Cricetulus griseus: one gene and its partners. The protein of the gene in region 2 interacts with the protein of the main gene of each other region in a pairwise test. Links are inferred from orthologs where the notes say so. Each region holds a gene or a part of one and is shown on either strand. Other genes may lie near its edges. The genes, in order: Crebzf, Ttc23 and Trim10.

The links.
Region 1: the proteins of Ttc23 (region 2) and Crebzf interact in binary tests that used the Homo sapiens proteins (3 or more experiments, as listed by UniProt). The two-hybrid records come from large-scale screens. The link is inferred for Cricetulus griseus from reciprocal best matches to the Homo sapiens genes TTC23 and CREBZF.
Region 3: the proteins of Ttc23 (region 2) and Trim10 interact in binary tests that used the Homo sapiens proteins (3 or more experiments, as listed by UniProt). The two-hybrid records come from large-scale screens. The link is inferred for Cricetulus griseus from reciprocal best matches to the Homo sapiens genes TTC23 and TRIM10.

The regions. Positions count from the first base shown.
Region 1 is NC_048596.1:108,656,727-108,661,055, forward strand, and holds the start of Crebzf (CREB/ATF bZIP transcription factor), read right to left. Parts: upstream 2,879-4,329; 5' UTR 2,647-2,878; coding exon 1,577-2,646; coding exon of another isoform or gene 1,573-1,576; exon of another isoform or gene 1,362-1,572; coding exon 1,346-1,361; 3' UTR 1,284-1,345; exon of another isoform or gene 1,046-1,283; 3' UTR 931-1,045; exon of another isoform or gene 251-930; 3' UTR 1-250.
Region 2 is NC_048596.1:129,512,645-129,516,291, reverse strand, and holds part of Ttc23 (tetratricopeptide repeat protein 23), read left to right. Parts: intron 1-1,040; coding exon 1,041-1,168; intron 1,169-3,647. UniProt on the Homo sapiens protein: Participates positively in the ciliary Hedgehog (Hh) signaling.
Region 3 is NW_023276806.1:228,876,506-228,880,152, forward strand, and holds part of Trim10 (tripartite motif-containing protein 10), read right to left. Parts: intron 2,196-3,647; coding exon 2,100-2,195; intron 1,529-2,099; coding exon 1,298-1,528; intron 546-1,297; coding exon 523-545; intron 36-522; coding exon 1-35. UniProt on the Homo sapiens protein: E3 ligase that plays an essential role in the differentiation and survival of terminal erythroid cells. May directly bind to PTEN and promote its ubiquitination, resulting in its proteasomal degradation and activation of hypertrophic signaling.

The DNA of each region.
Region 1 (4,329 bases), about 21 Mb from region 2:
TTACAGTTAGTTGTGCAAGAACAAGATTCCATTTCCATAACCAAGTAACAAAATAAGACATCTTACGTGTAAGATAACTTACATCTTTGGACTGCTGGAAAATACTTAATTATGAACATTTTAAAAATAAAAGACAGCAGAAGCCCTGATATTACCTCTTTTTCCTTATTTCTTATACTACCTTTTAAAATAAAGCAGGAAATGTGGCCAGCAGCTGGTCCCGTCTCTTCTGCCCCAACAGCTGTATCCACTTTAGCACAAAGAAAAACAAGGATGCTAAATACGTATATCCTTTATCAAACAGTGATGTTTCACAAAGAATTTAATGTCTCTTGCACTTCAAGACATCATAACACAGATTTAGACAAGTGGACAATAAACAGTATTTCAAGGGAAGAATATTTTCCATCTTTGGAAAACAGCCTCAGTCATATCATTAAGTGGCCAGAACTATTTAATTTTAAAAAGGCAAAAGTTTTAGAAATATGGAAAATAAGATTCTTTGTGAAGCCTCACTTTACATGTTTTCATTCACTTTTCACAACCTTCAATATCTAATCATACACAAATTTAGCCTAAATTTTAATACAACAAAAATAAATGCTTTCAACAATTTCTTCATACTTAATTACTGTGCTGGTCCTCAAACATTTCATTAATCATTCTTCCTCTAATTAAAACACAGAAATCTGATGGGTATGTTAACTTCCAAGTTTTCAAGTGATGAAATATTGGGATCTTATATAGATTGTATTTATTTTCTACTGAAAATTAGAAGGCATTCTTAAGTATTTTAAGAGATTTTTCATCTCCAGAAAAATACCCACATTTGTGCATGCCTCAAATACTTATTGTCAACCTCTGAAAAGTTGCTACAATTGGAATTCCAATTTGCACCTTGTACAACTCGGAACTTCCATTCAACTTCACCTGTTTCACTGTCTCCAAACTGTATCTCTATTAGCAGGTTTCAGTGTACAGTTGGAACCGATGTCATCCAAGGCCATGTCCACACTGGGGACAGAAGAGCTAGGTACACGCAACTCTGAACAAGGGGACACATTTAACAGCTAGTTCAACCAAAAGCAATTTAAGTACATTATTGACCAGCACAAGTCTGTTTCCAGGGTGGACAGGGCCCAAATTAAGATTCCCCTCCCACCTTTCAAAAAGAAAAAAGAAACAAAAAAATATATCACACACACACACAAATTGAGATGTTGCCCATTAAAAGTAGACTAAGCAGCAGAGCATGAGCGTTACGTGAAGAGATGGATCCTTACCAGGTTGTGAGGCGGGAACGACTGTTCTGTAACCCCTACAACGGAGCCTGGCAGGAAGGAAATCACCTAAAAAAGAAACTGTCAGAGAGATTTAATAGTCACAGGTTATCATTAGGAGTTGGTTACAGTGTCACATTCATGCTTTTAGCTAAACACTTAATAGATTTAATATTACTTTTTTTTTTCCGCCTCTGAAATGTGTCCGGTGAAGATGTCCCACTAAAGGTGTTTTACATGGTGTAAGGGAGTAGAAAGGGGTAAACGCGGATAAAGAGCAGATTACTTGACCCTACATTTTAAGAGACGACGACGCCTTCCGAGCGCACGCCGAGCAGAACTCCACCGACACCTTATCCTTGTCCACATGGAGACACACTCCTCCCGCCGCGTCGTCCTCTTCCAGCAGCTCCGGCGGCTGCTTCCCCACCGGCAGGGCGTAGTCATGGTCACCGGCGGGCGAGTCTCTGAAGAGCGAGGTGGTCAGCCGCAGTCCCACGCCGCTCAGCCGGCTCAGCAGGCGAGCCAGTCCCGTCTCGTTGGCCAGGACAGCCCGTAGGTAGCGACTCTCCTCCTGCAGTGCTTGCACGCGTTTGCCCAGCTCCCGATTCTCGGCCCGCAGCTCCTGGTTCTCGGCGGCCAGTCCCCGGACTCGACTCTCCAGCCCCATCACGTACTCCTTCTTCTTGAGCCGATTAAGACGGGCAGCGGCCGCCGCCGCCTTCCGGGGACTCTTGGTCGCCGCTGGGTTGTTGTCGTTGGTGCCACCGCCTCCTCCCGGGGACTTTCTCCGCCTCTTTTCCGCGCTGCCGCGGTCACCGCCGCTGCTGCTGCAGCCCCCGATGCCGTTCAGCAGCCTCTGCAGCAAGTCAGAAAAGCGCTGCATCTCGGCAGCCGCGCTCTCGTCGTCGTCGTCCCCCCTCAACAGGCCGCCGCTATCCGAGCCTCCGCCGGACGAGGACAGGGGCCCGGGCGAGCTGAGCCCGGGCTCCAGGTGCCAGTCCGGTTGCCGAGGGTCCAGCAGATCGGCCAGTTCCAGCCCAGAGAGAAAGTCCATGTCCTCCGGCTCTTCCTTGGGGACCATGGCGATTGCGTCCTCCTCTTCCTCCTCCATCTTCACTGGCGAGGGCGCGGGCGCGCGCACGGCCACGCTGCCGCGGCTCCCCCTCCGGGCCTCCTCCGGCTCGCCCCCGTCGCCGCGCCGCGGCTCGCGGCCAGACGATCCGGACCTTGACGTCTCCGCCCCCGCGGCGGCCGCAGTCGGGTCCCCGGGCGGCGCGCGCGTGGCGGCCGGCTCCCGGCTATCGCGGTGGCTCGACGAATCGCGACCCGAGGCTGCCAGCAGCTTGGTCAGGCTGTGCCTCATGGAGCCGGGCGGCGGGCCCGGGTAGGCCGCAGCCCCTCAGACCCCGGGCCCCCCGCGGGCACAGCCACGGCGCGGAACGAACCGCAGGCACCGGGGAAGGTCTGAGTGGCCTCCCGCGGCCGCCCAACCCCCCGCACGAGGCGGGGGGACGGCCGTGGAAGCGAGAAGCGGCGACACCCGCGAGGACCGGGCCGCGCCACCCAGACAGCGGCCTGGCCGGAAGTTACTCGCTCTCCCTACCCCGCCCACCAGCAGCGCGCTCCTCCAGCCAGGATATCGCGAGATTCCGGGTGCTTTCGAGGGGCAGTAATTCTAGCTTTGCGATGATGTCATAGTAACAGCGGCAAAAACAATGAAAACCTACGATTACACTCCCTCATTCATCAGTACTAACTACTACCCAGTATCAGACTCGAAAATCCGACGCTTGACCTCTAGACATATATGACATACATATATATATATATATATATATATATATATATTATATATATATATATATATGGATTTGTGAACACTTGGCTGTTTCTCCCTCAATTGCAAGCAAAACAAACCTGAGGAAATAGCCACCACTAAAACAAAAGACTATCCTTCCTAATCTAGTGTTACCAACCTCAAAGTAATTTATGTGCTGTTCTCTAACTCTCTTAGAAGTCCTTAGTCTCAGATAATCTTTCATACTACTACCACGGCTATTACGATTATTATTTTATTAACATCATTATTTGTTTTTTTGCAACGCGATCACTTCCAGCATTAGCTGGTCTGCTGGGATTGGGTGTCTTGTATAATAGTCTCTTGTTTTGCGGTTTGTCTTGTGCTTGTTCTTTTGTATTTGTTTTTTGTTTTCTTCATTTCTCAAGCTATAGCAATTCCTTCCCCCTTATCTGCTTTTTAAAATGCTGGCTTTTTGAAAATACCAAGTCAGCTGTCTTGAAGAAAACACCACATTCTGAATCTGTGGTTCTGGGTTGTTTATGCTATTTCTCCAGTGCATAACGGATTTGAGACCTGAAGCGTTTACAATATAATGAAATGCTACACCATAGCTCATGTTTTCCAAAGAAAAGCCGATGACAGTACAGCTGAATTCGAGAGAGGAGGAGAGTGGAGAATAGGGCTGCAATGAATCATACAAGTTATTTTAATTAAGCTCAAAATAAATTAGGCTTCCTGGCAGTGTACACACACACACACACACACACACACAGAGGCATGTTATCTTCTAGGGGTCTTGGTCAGGCTGTACTCTGCTAATTAAATTAAAAGCAGGAACAACTCAAACATAGCAGGCAGCAATAAGTAAATTTAATTAAAAATTAAGTACACACACAGGGATTGGTAGTGTTAAATGTTCTCGGTGGCCTAGGATCTGCCCCGGCACCTCATTTCGAACTGACAGACTGATCAATTTATGGAAAGGAGGAGGAGCTGACAGGGCCACAGCTTCAGGTAAACATGTTCTGGACCAGCTTCCAACGGTCAGCTAGAAGGTGTGGAGGGGAAGCTGCTGGCCTGAGAAAAAGCAGGTCATGCCTTTGTCACAGGTTAGAGTGGAGAAGAAGCCCGAAGCTAACAAACTTTATTATTATGTGTTGTTCCTTTTCTTGTCTGTGTACCTATCGGGTTGCTTCTACTTCCTGGTTCCTTAAAAACACACTCTACTTGATCACATATAAAGTA
Region 2 (3,647 bases):
GCATCCTCCCAAGACCCCCGTGTTAAAGGCTTGGCCCCCAGCCTGTGGCACTATTGATAGGTGGCAGAACCTCTAGGCAGTGACATGGGAGCCCAGCCCCTCCCTGATTCCCTTCACTTCTAGTTACCATGACACTCTTACCATTGCCCCATCACGGGACGCAGCAGAGCCACAGGCTGGGGCACAGGCTGGAACCTCCAACAGTGTGAGTACCATTAGCTGTCCTTACTTTATGCTGATTTATCTCAGGTGTTTGTTTCAACAGCAGAGGGTTGTGTAGTCACAGCTCTGGTCTTCAATTCCCTTTCCATTTTCCATGCCTTCGATCTTCCTTCTCTTGCTCTTCTGATTATCATTTATGTCAAACCATTTTTATTTTATCAATCAGTGTGTTTAAGAGTTTAGAATGGAGCCAGGCAGTGGTGGCACACACCTTGAGTCCCAGCACACTCAGGAGGCAGAGGCAGGCAGATCTCTGTGAGTTCAAGACCAGCCTGGTCTACAAGAGCTAGTTCCAGGACAGCCTCCAAAGCCACAGAGAAACCCTGTCTTGAAACTCGCCCCCCAAAAGAGTTTAGAATGGTTGGGATTTTTCTTCGCTAGTGTATCAGCTAGATTTTCTAGTTTTGTTTTTTGTTTTTGTTTTTTTTTTTTGGTGTGTGTGTGTGTGTTAAAGAAATATAAAGAGTCCACAGAACTATATGGGTTGTGAGGAGTGACTGATTTCTAGGCAGAGAAAATGTTCTATCAATATCCTAGTGTGTTCGGCTCTGGGATAGCTTCCCCCTCCCTGCCCCTCATATCACCAAGAACACTAAAATGTCTGAAAAACAAGAAAAATAGCTTGCTGTATCCTTCTGAGGTGAAAATAGTTTCTGATAAAATGAGCAGATTAACGGGCACAAGAGAGTCCCTCGAACTGGCTTCTCTTATCCAAATGGTTATTTTTAAACCTTTCACCGTCACTAACAACATATTTGCTCCATCTCTGCTTTGGATCTTTGAGCTATTTTCAAAATGTTCTTCTGTGCTCTTTTCAGATATGGCCGAGCAGTATTTTCAGGAAAGCATGACTCATGTGAAGGATTCTGAAGGAGCAGGAAGAGTCAAGTTCCTTTCCATTCAAGATGAATTTTGCAATTTTCTGCAGATCACTGGACAAAAAGAAGTAAGTGAGTTTAGATCACAATTGTCAAGCTATTCCTACGGGATGCCAAAGACTACTCTTTCAGCCTTCAACCATCTGTTAAACACCTAGTATATACAGGGCATGTCCTAGCCTCTGGAGAGACCCAGGTAAGTAAATCAAGGAGCCACTCTCAGGCAGCATCCACATGCTTCCTCTTAGAAACAAAACAGTGAGAAATTAAATGCTACATCCAACTACAAAAGGTCACGAAGGGTTGAAAACCTTGAGAACTCAGTGGGCAAGAGCCCTCACTGAAGCCCAAGGTTCTTCCAGCTGGGGTGGTCTGTGGCCCTCAGTGTGGTCAATTCCTTTTTTCCTCTTCTGTATATTGAATGGAATTTTCATTTCTAACAAAAACTACCCAGCACAGAGGTCCCAGCTCACTGTCTCTGCTGCTGGTCTGTAAAGGCATGCTCAACATGACTTAGAAAGGTAGGACAAAGCCAGAGCTTATAGTATACTAAAAAAAATTTCCGTGTAAGTCAGAGCAGCTCCAGGAAAAGAAAGTAGATAATTTAGAGGTGTGTGGTGTGTGTGTGTGTGTGCTGTGTGCTGTGTGTGTGTGTGTGTGTGTGTGTGTGTGTGTGTGTGTGTGTGTGGTATGTGTGTGCATGTGTGATGTATGTGTATGTGTGTGGTGTGTGTGTGGTATGTGTGTGTATATGTGATGTGTGCATGTGTGTGGTGTGTGTGTGTGTGTGTGTGTGTATGTGTGTGTGTGTGTATGTGTGTGTGTGTGTGTGTTATGTGTGTATGTGTGTTTTCAGTCTAGCATAGCAGATCTTGGAGATGAAGATGAAAAGTAGTCTTTCTTTGTTGTCTGGAGTTGTCTTTGTTGTCTTCTCCCTACTACGCTTTCCTCATCCTTGACTTCTTTTCTCTCAGTTAAGGACCACGGGCTTTTATTCTGCACTCATTCCATTTGTCAGGCCAGAGTAAATGCACAGTCACCATAACAAATAGTGTTTCACTGTTCTTCTGAATCACCCAGCCAAAGATACAGGGCCCTGCTAGGGCCTCGGATTCCTACCCGAGACTCCATCTTAGTCCTATGGGGACTTCACAGGTTCCTCATTCACCTCCAAGTTTCCTCAACACACACATGGTTTAACATTTCCCCTCCCACCATCCATCATCTCATCAGGACCACTCTAGAATCTTCTCTTTCCCAGGTGCTTCCTCCCCACTTTTACCTTAATCTGTTCAGATTCTGAAAGCACACCTGAACATCGAACACTCATTTGGTTCTCCAATGAACCTTAATACCCTCATGGCAAAGCTGGCATGACCCTCCCAATGTCCAGAGTCTGCTGATGTTTTGTTTTGTTTTGTTTTGTTTTGTTTTGTTTTGAGATAGGGTTTCTTTGTATTGCTTTGAAGCCTATCCTGGCACTCGCTCTATAGTCCAGGGCTGGCCTCGAACTCAAAGAGCTCCCCCTGCCTCTGCCTCCTGAGTGCTCAGGATTAAAGGTTTTGCCACCACCAACTGCCCAGCAAGCTCCAGGAGCCTTCTGTCTTTGCCTCCCTAGCTCTGGGATTACAGGTGCACACCACCACAGCCGGCATTTTTATGTGGGTTCTGGGGATTGAACTCAGGCCCTTATGCTTGAGGTACTTTTAAAGACCATCTGCCTCCCCAGCCCATACTGCCCCTTTCTAACACCTCCCTGCTATGACTGCTCTTAATAATTCTGGTTCTTCCCATTAAGTTTTCCCATCTGCTTTCCATTGTCATCAGAATGTGTCTTTTAACTTGACACGCACCCATCCTAGTCTCCCTAGTCAACAGAAGCAGTGTCAAAAGCTTCATTCAGGAGAAGAACCTCCAGCCCTTCTCCCCATCACTGACTGACTTCCCAAAGCCCAGCAGTCAAATCCCATGGGAAAGCCACCTCACAGGTGTTGGGAGGGGGATGCATGGAGATCCCAGACCTCTGAGTGCTGCAATGAGCCACACTTGGCAAGTTACACAGTTGCTTTGCCTGAGAAGTTGATTTCTGCTCATTACCACCCTTAATGTGCCAACCCAGTCACTAACTCACGTTACTGCCCAAAAGGAGCCATGTTCTTCATTCACATGTCTGCCTGTCTACGACATGGAATCGGGATGTGCCCCCATCCACCCATACCAGGGCTATGCTATGGGAATCCCTTTCTGTGGTCCTGGCTTTATTTGACTGTTGAATTCAGCATTCACGTTGTACAACCATAACTATGTTTTCAGGTGGAAGATCCAGTAAGAATTTCAGGATGTGTTGGAAGTTCAGGCTTTCCCCCTGTATGTCTTAGTATCTGCAAACATTAATAATCGGGGAATATTATTTTCTGACCAGCTCCTATTTTCCTATTCCATGTTGGCACAAATAAATAGGACAAAGCATGATGTCATGCTCCATGGAATGTTTACTTTCGGCTTCCTAAGCATTCACCGTGAGAACAGAAAGTCCAGAAGCACAGC
Region 3 (3,647 bases), on a different chromosome or scaffold from region 2:
TAGCCTCGGGTTTCCTGCACTTTCTAGTTTCACACCTAGGGGCACAGAAATGGCAGTATGGGGAAAAATACTTAATTTTTGCATGTATGTAGTGTGACACATGCATGCAGTGTCCATGGAGACCAGAAGAGGGCATAGGATCCACTGTAACTAGAGATGTGTGTGTGAAATGCTATATGGGTTCTGGGAACTGAGCCCAGGGTCTTTACAACAGCTCTTAACCACTGAGCCATCTCTCTGGCCCCTAGAATTATTCTGTTTTAAAAATGATGTCTCCAGGCTGCTATCTTCTTCTAACAAGGCCTGGAGCAGCAACTTCCCATCCTCTCAGACAGACCCTACTGCTACACAAGTGGGTAGATCAACAGCAGTGCATGAGAACACATTAGGGCAAGCATAGATTTACACATGACTGTGTGCCCTTCATGTAAGAGTGTGGTTTATTTGCACAGCAATAACTAGGTGGGTGGACCGCGGGTGGCTATCTACGTGAAAAGAAGAAATAGGCATTGTATCACTGACCTTATTAGAGTGCTTCTGATATCCTGGGAGGGAGGGAGGGAGGGAGGGAGGGAGGAGGGAGGGAGGGAGGGAGAAAGAGAGAGAGAGAGAGAGAGAGAGAGAGAGAGAGAGAGAGAGAGAGAGAGAGAGATTGATTCAGTTTCTGGCTTTTCTCTTCTACTTTTGTTATACACACACACAAAAACAAAAACAAAAACAAAAACAAATGCCATATTCCTAGCCCCAGATCCATGGGGACCAAAATCCAGCACCCAACTCCTTTGCTTCATGGACAGAGTTGGTGATATGACCAACTTCTAGCAACAGGCAAAAATATGCAAGTCCTACACCAAGGTCTCTTATTTCCCAGTACCCAGTGCATCCCTGTAAATCCTGTTGCTGGAACCCCAGTAACTCTCCTCTAGTTCAAGGAGGCAATTCAGTAAAGGGAGAACTTCCTGGCCAGTGGAGGGGACATTCAAGTTATGAAAATTTTGCTTTGGAAACAGCACCTGGCAGTTGTCTGCACAGTACTTGGTAATTTTCAATAGCAACTTCTACCTTATTTTACTGTTGGATCCTCACTTCTTCCCATTCTATGGATGCCAGGAAAGAAGACCAAGGCCAGAGAGTACCATGACCAGGGAATTCTTGGTGAGGCACAGACTAGAATGTAGCACCCACCCCCACCCCCACCCCCGGTCCTGTGTTCCACAACCTATCTTGGATGCAGAGCCAGGTATGTAAAGGAAGTGATTCCAGAGACCCCCGGGGGTGAGGGCAGGCCGGGTCTCACCGTCAGGAGGCCCCTCGCTGGCCGCTTGTTCTTCTCCTCCAGCTCCTCGATCAGGGTGCTGAACCGGCAGATCTCCCCTGTGGCCAGGGAATCAAACTCCTCCTGTTGCTTCAGGATGTCCCCATCCAACCTCTCCAGCTGAGCTAAAAGGACACTCTGTTGTTCCTCTAGGAACTGACTCAGATGTGCGAACTGGGAAATCACCTGTTGTCTCTTGGTGGCCACCTGAGTCTGAGAAGGAAGTGAGACCCAAGAAGGACGTTTTCCTCTCCCCACAGCAGAATCCCATCCCCCACCCACAATCCTCCTCTCCCCTTCCTTTCCCTTACACATTTCCACTTGCCTCTTGATCTATACCCACACCTCCCAAGGTTTGGTGACAAAATCACAGCCCCCCACTCCCACTTGTTGCTTGACCCCCATATGGATGTGGAGCTGCAGCTGGTATTCTTTCTGCCTGCCACCCCATTTCTCATGAGGCCCGACATGGCCCCATTGCCATTACTGTGGCTTCTGAAAGGGGCCCCGAGACACCAGAGATGCCTGGCATCTTGCCAGGCAGGAAGCACACATTGTGTACACACCATTAAGGTGTTAGAGGCAGGATTACACTAATTCCTGCAGTAAGTGATTCAGTAAGGAGATGAATCTTAATCTCCATTCTACAGGCAAGTAAGCTAAAGCTAGAGAGTTGCTCAAGATGGAAGAGTTAACGTCAGAGTCATAACACCTTCAAGTATCTGTCTGTTCGGTGGCCCCAGACTCTGGAGCAAGGGCTGGGCCTGGGGAGGTGGAGACCTACCAGGAGCACCTGTATCCTTTTGTTTTCTCTTGACTGGATTTCTTGAATCTCCGTTCTCTCTTTCCTTAGACACATAAGACAGTTTTGTATTTGTTCCTGGGGAGAAGGAGCATAAAATATTAAGATGGAGAAAGTAACTACAAAGGGACATCACTCTCTTCAATCTCTGGACATGAAATGCCCTGGAGATAAATGCGAACCCTGGCACCTTGAGAGACTCAGAGTCTTCTTCCTTATTCTGATTTTGAGGCAGGATTTCATGTAGCCCAGACTTACCTCAAACTCAGGATCCTCCTGCCTCAGCACCACCAGGCCTGGCCTTGATGCTTGTTCCTCTTGCTTTATGCTCCAGAGACGTTGACCAGAGTTTACCCCCTTCTCATGAGCCATCAAAGGTCATGACTTTGCTTACCCTTTGAGCCCTTCTTCAGGTTAAACAACTACCTTCTTTTGCATGTGGCAAGTATTACCTATGACCTGAGTGCTGCATGTTCTTTGCTGAAACTGAAATCATGTCATACAAAGGAAATAGATTCAAATAACATCTTCTTTTTTTTGCTAGAACCAATAATCTAGAAATGATTCGATATGAGAAGGAATTTCACACAAAAATAATTGATGCACTATTTTATAAATTGTTCTAGAAGAGAATTAGGAACAACCAAACACATAGATACCCACATGTGTGTTTGAGAACACTGATAGAAAACCTGGGGTTGTAGCTCAGTTATTAAAGTGCTTGGTTAGCATGTAAGAAACCCTGGGTTCAGTCCCTAACACTTCATAAATCATGTATGGTAGCACATCCCTATAATCCCAGCATTCAAGGGGGTAAAGGCAGGAGACTCAGAAATTCAAGGTCATCCTAGGCTGTATAATTAGTCTGAGGCAATGCTCCACTAAGACCTGTCTTTAAAAAAATAAAAATAAAAACAGAATACATAGAAAAATTTCACTATCAAAAGATCATTAATAAATGCTACATCATACATATATACACACCTGCTTATATCAAAACACAGTATAAAAGCAACTAAAACCAGCAATATACTCATTTAATGAAAACCAAATGTGTTCCCCCAACTAGCTTATTCACACCAGGAACATTTAGTTACAAGCATGTTTCAAATACATCACACTCAGACCAGCCCTCCACACAGAAGACATTCACTCTTGTAAACATACAAACATGGGCATTCCCTGAAATGCAAACCTCAGACACACTTAAACTGATACAGGGCGCGCGCACGCGCGCGCGCGCGCGCACGCACGCACGCACACACACACACACACACACACACACACACACACACACACACTTGATGACTCATTCGTTCAGAAAGGATTTACTGAGCTCCTGCTATTTATGGGTCACAAGGAAACAGCATAGAACTTGCTCTTAATCATAACCTTGTGCTTTTCTGTGCTTGAGTCTCTTGCCTGGGTGATCAAGGTAAGGAGAAAGAATTTGGAGTCAGGATACCCCTTCCACCCCAGAATTGACAACACCTTTCTATTTCCCTTGGTCCAATCCAGCTCCCACAAGGG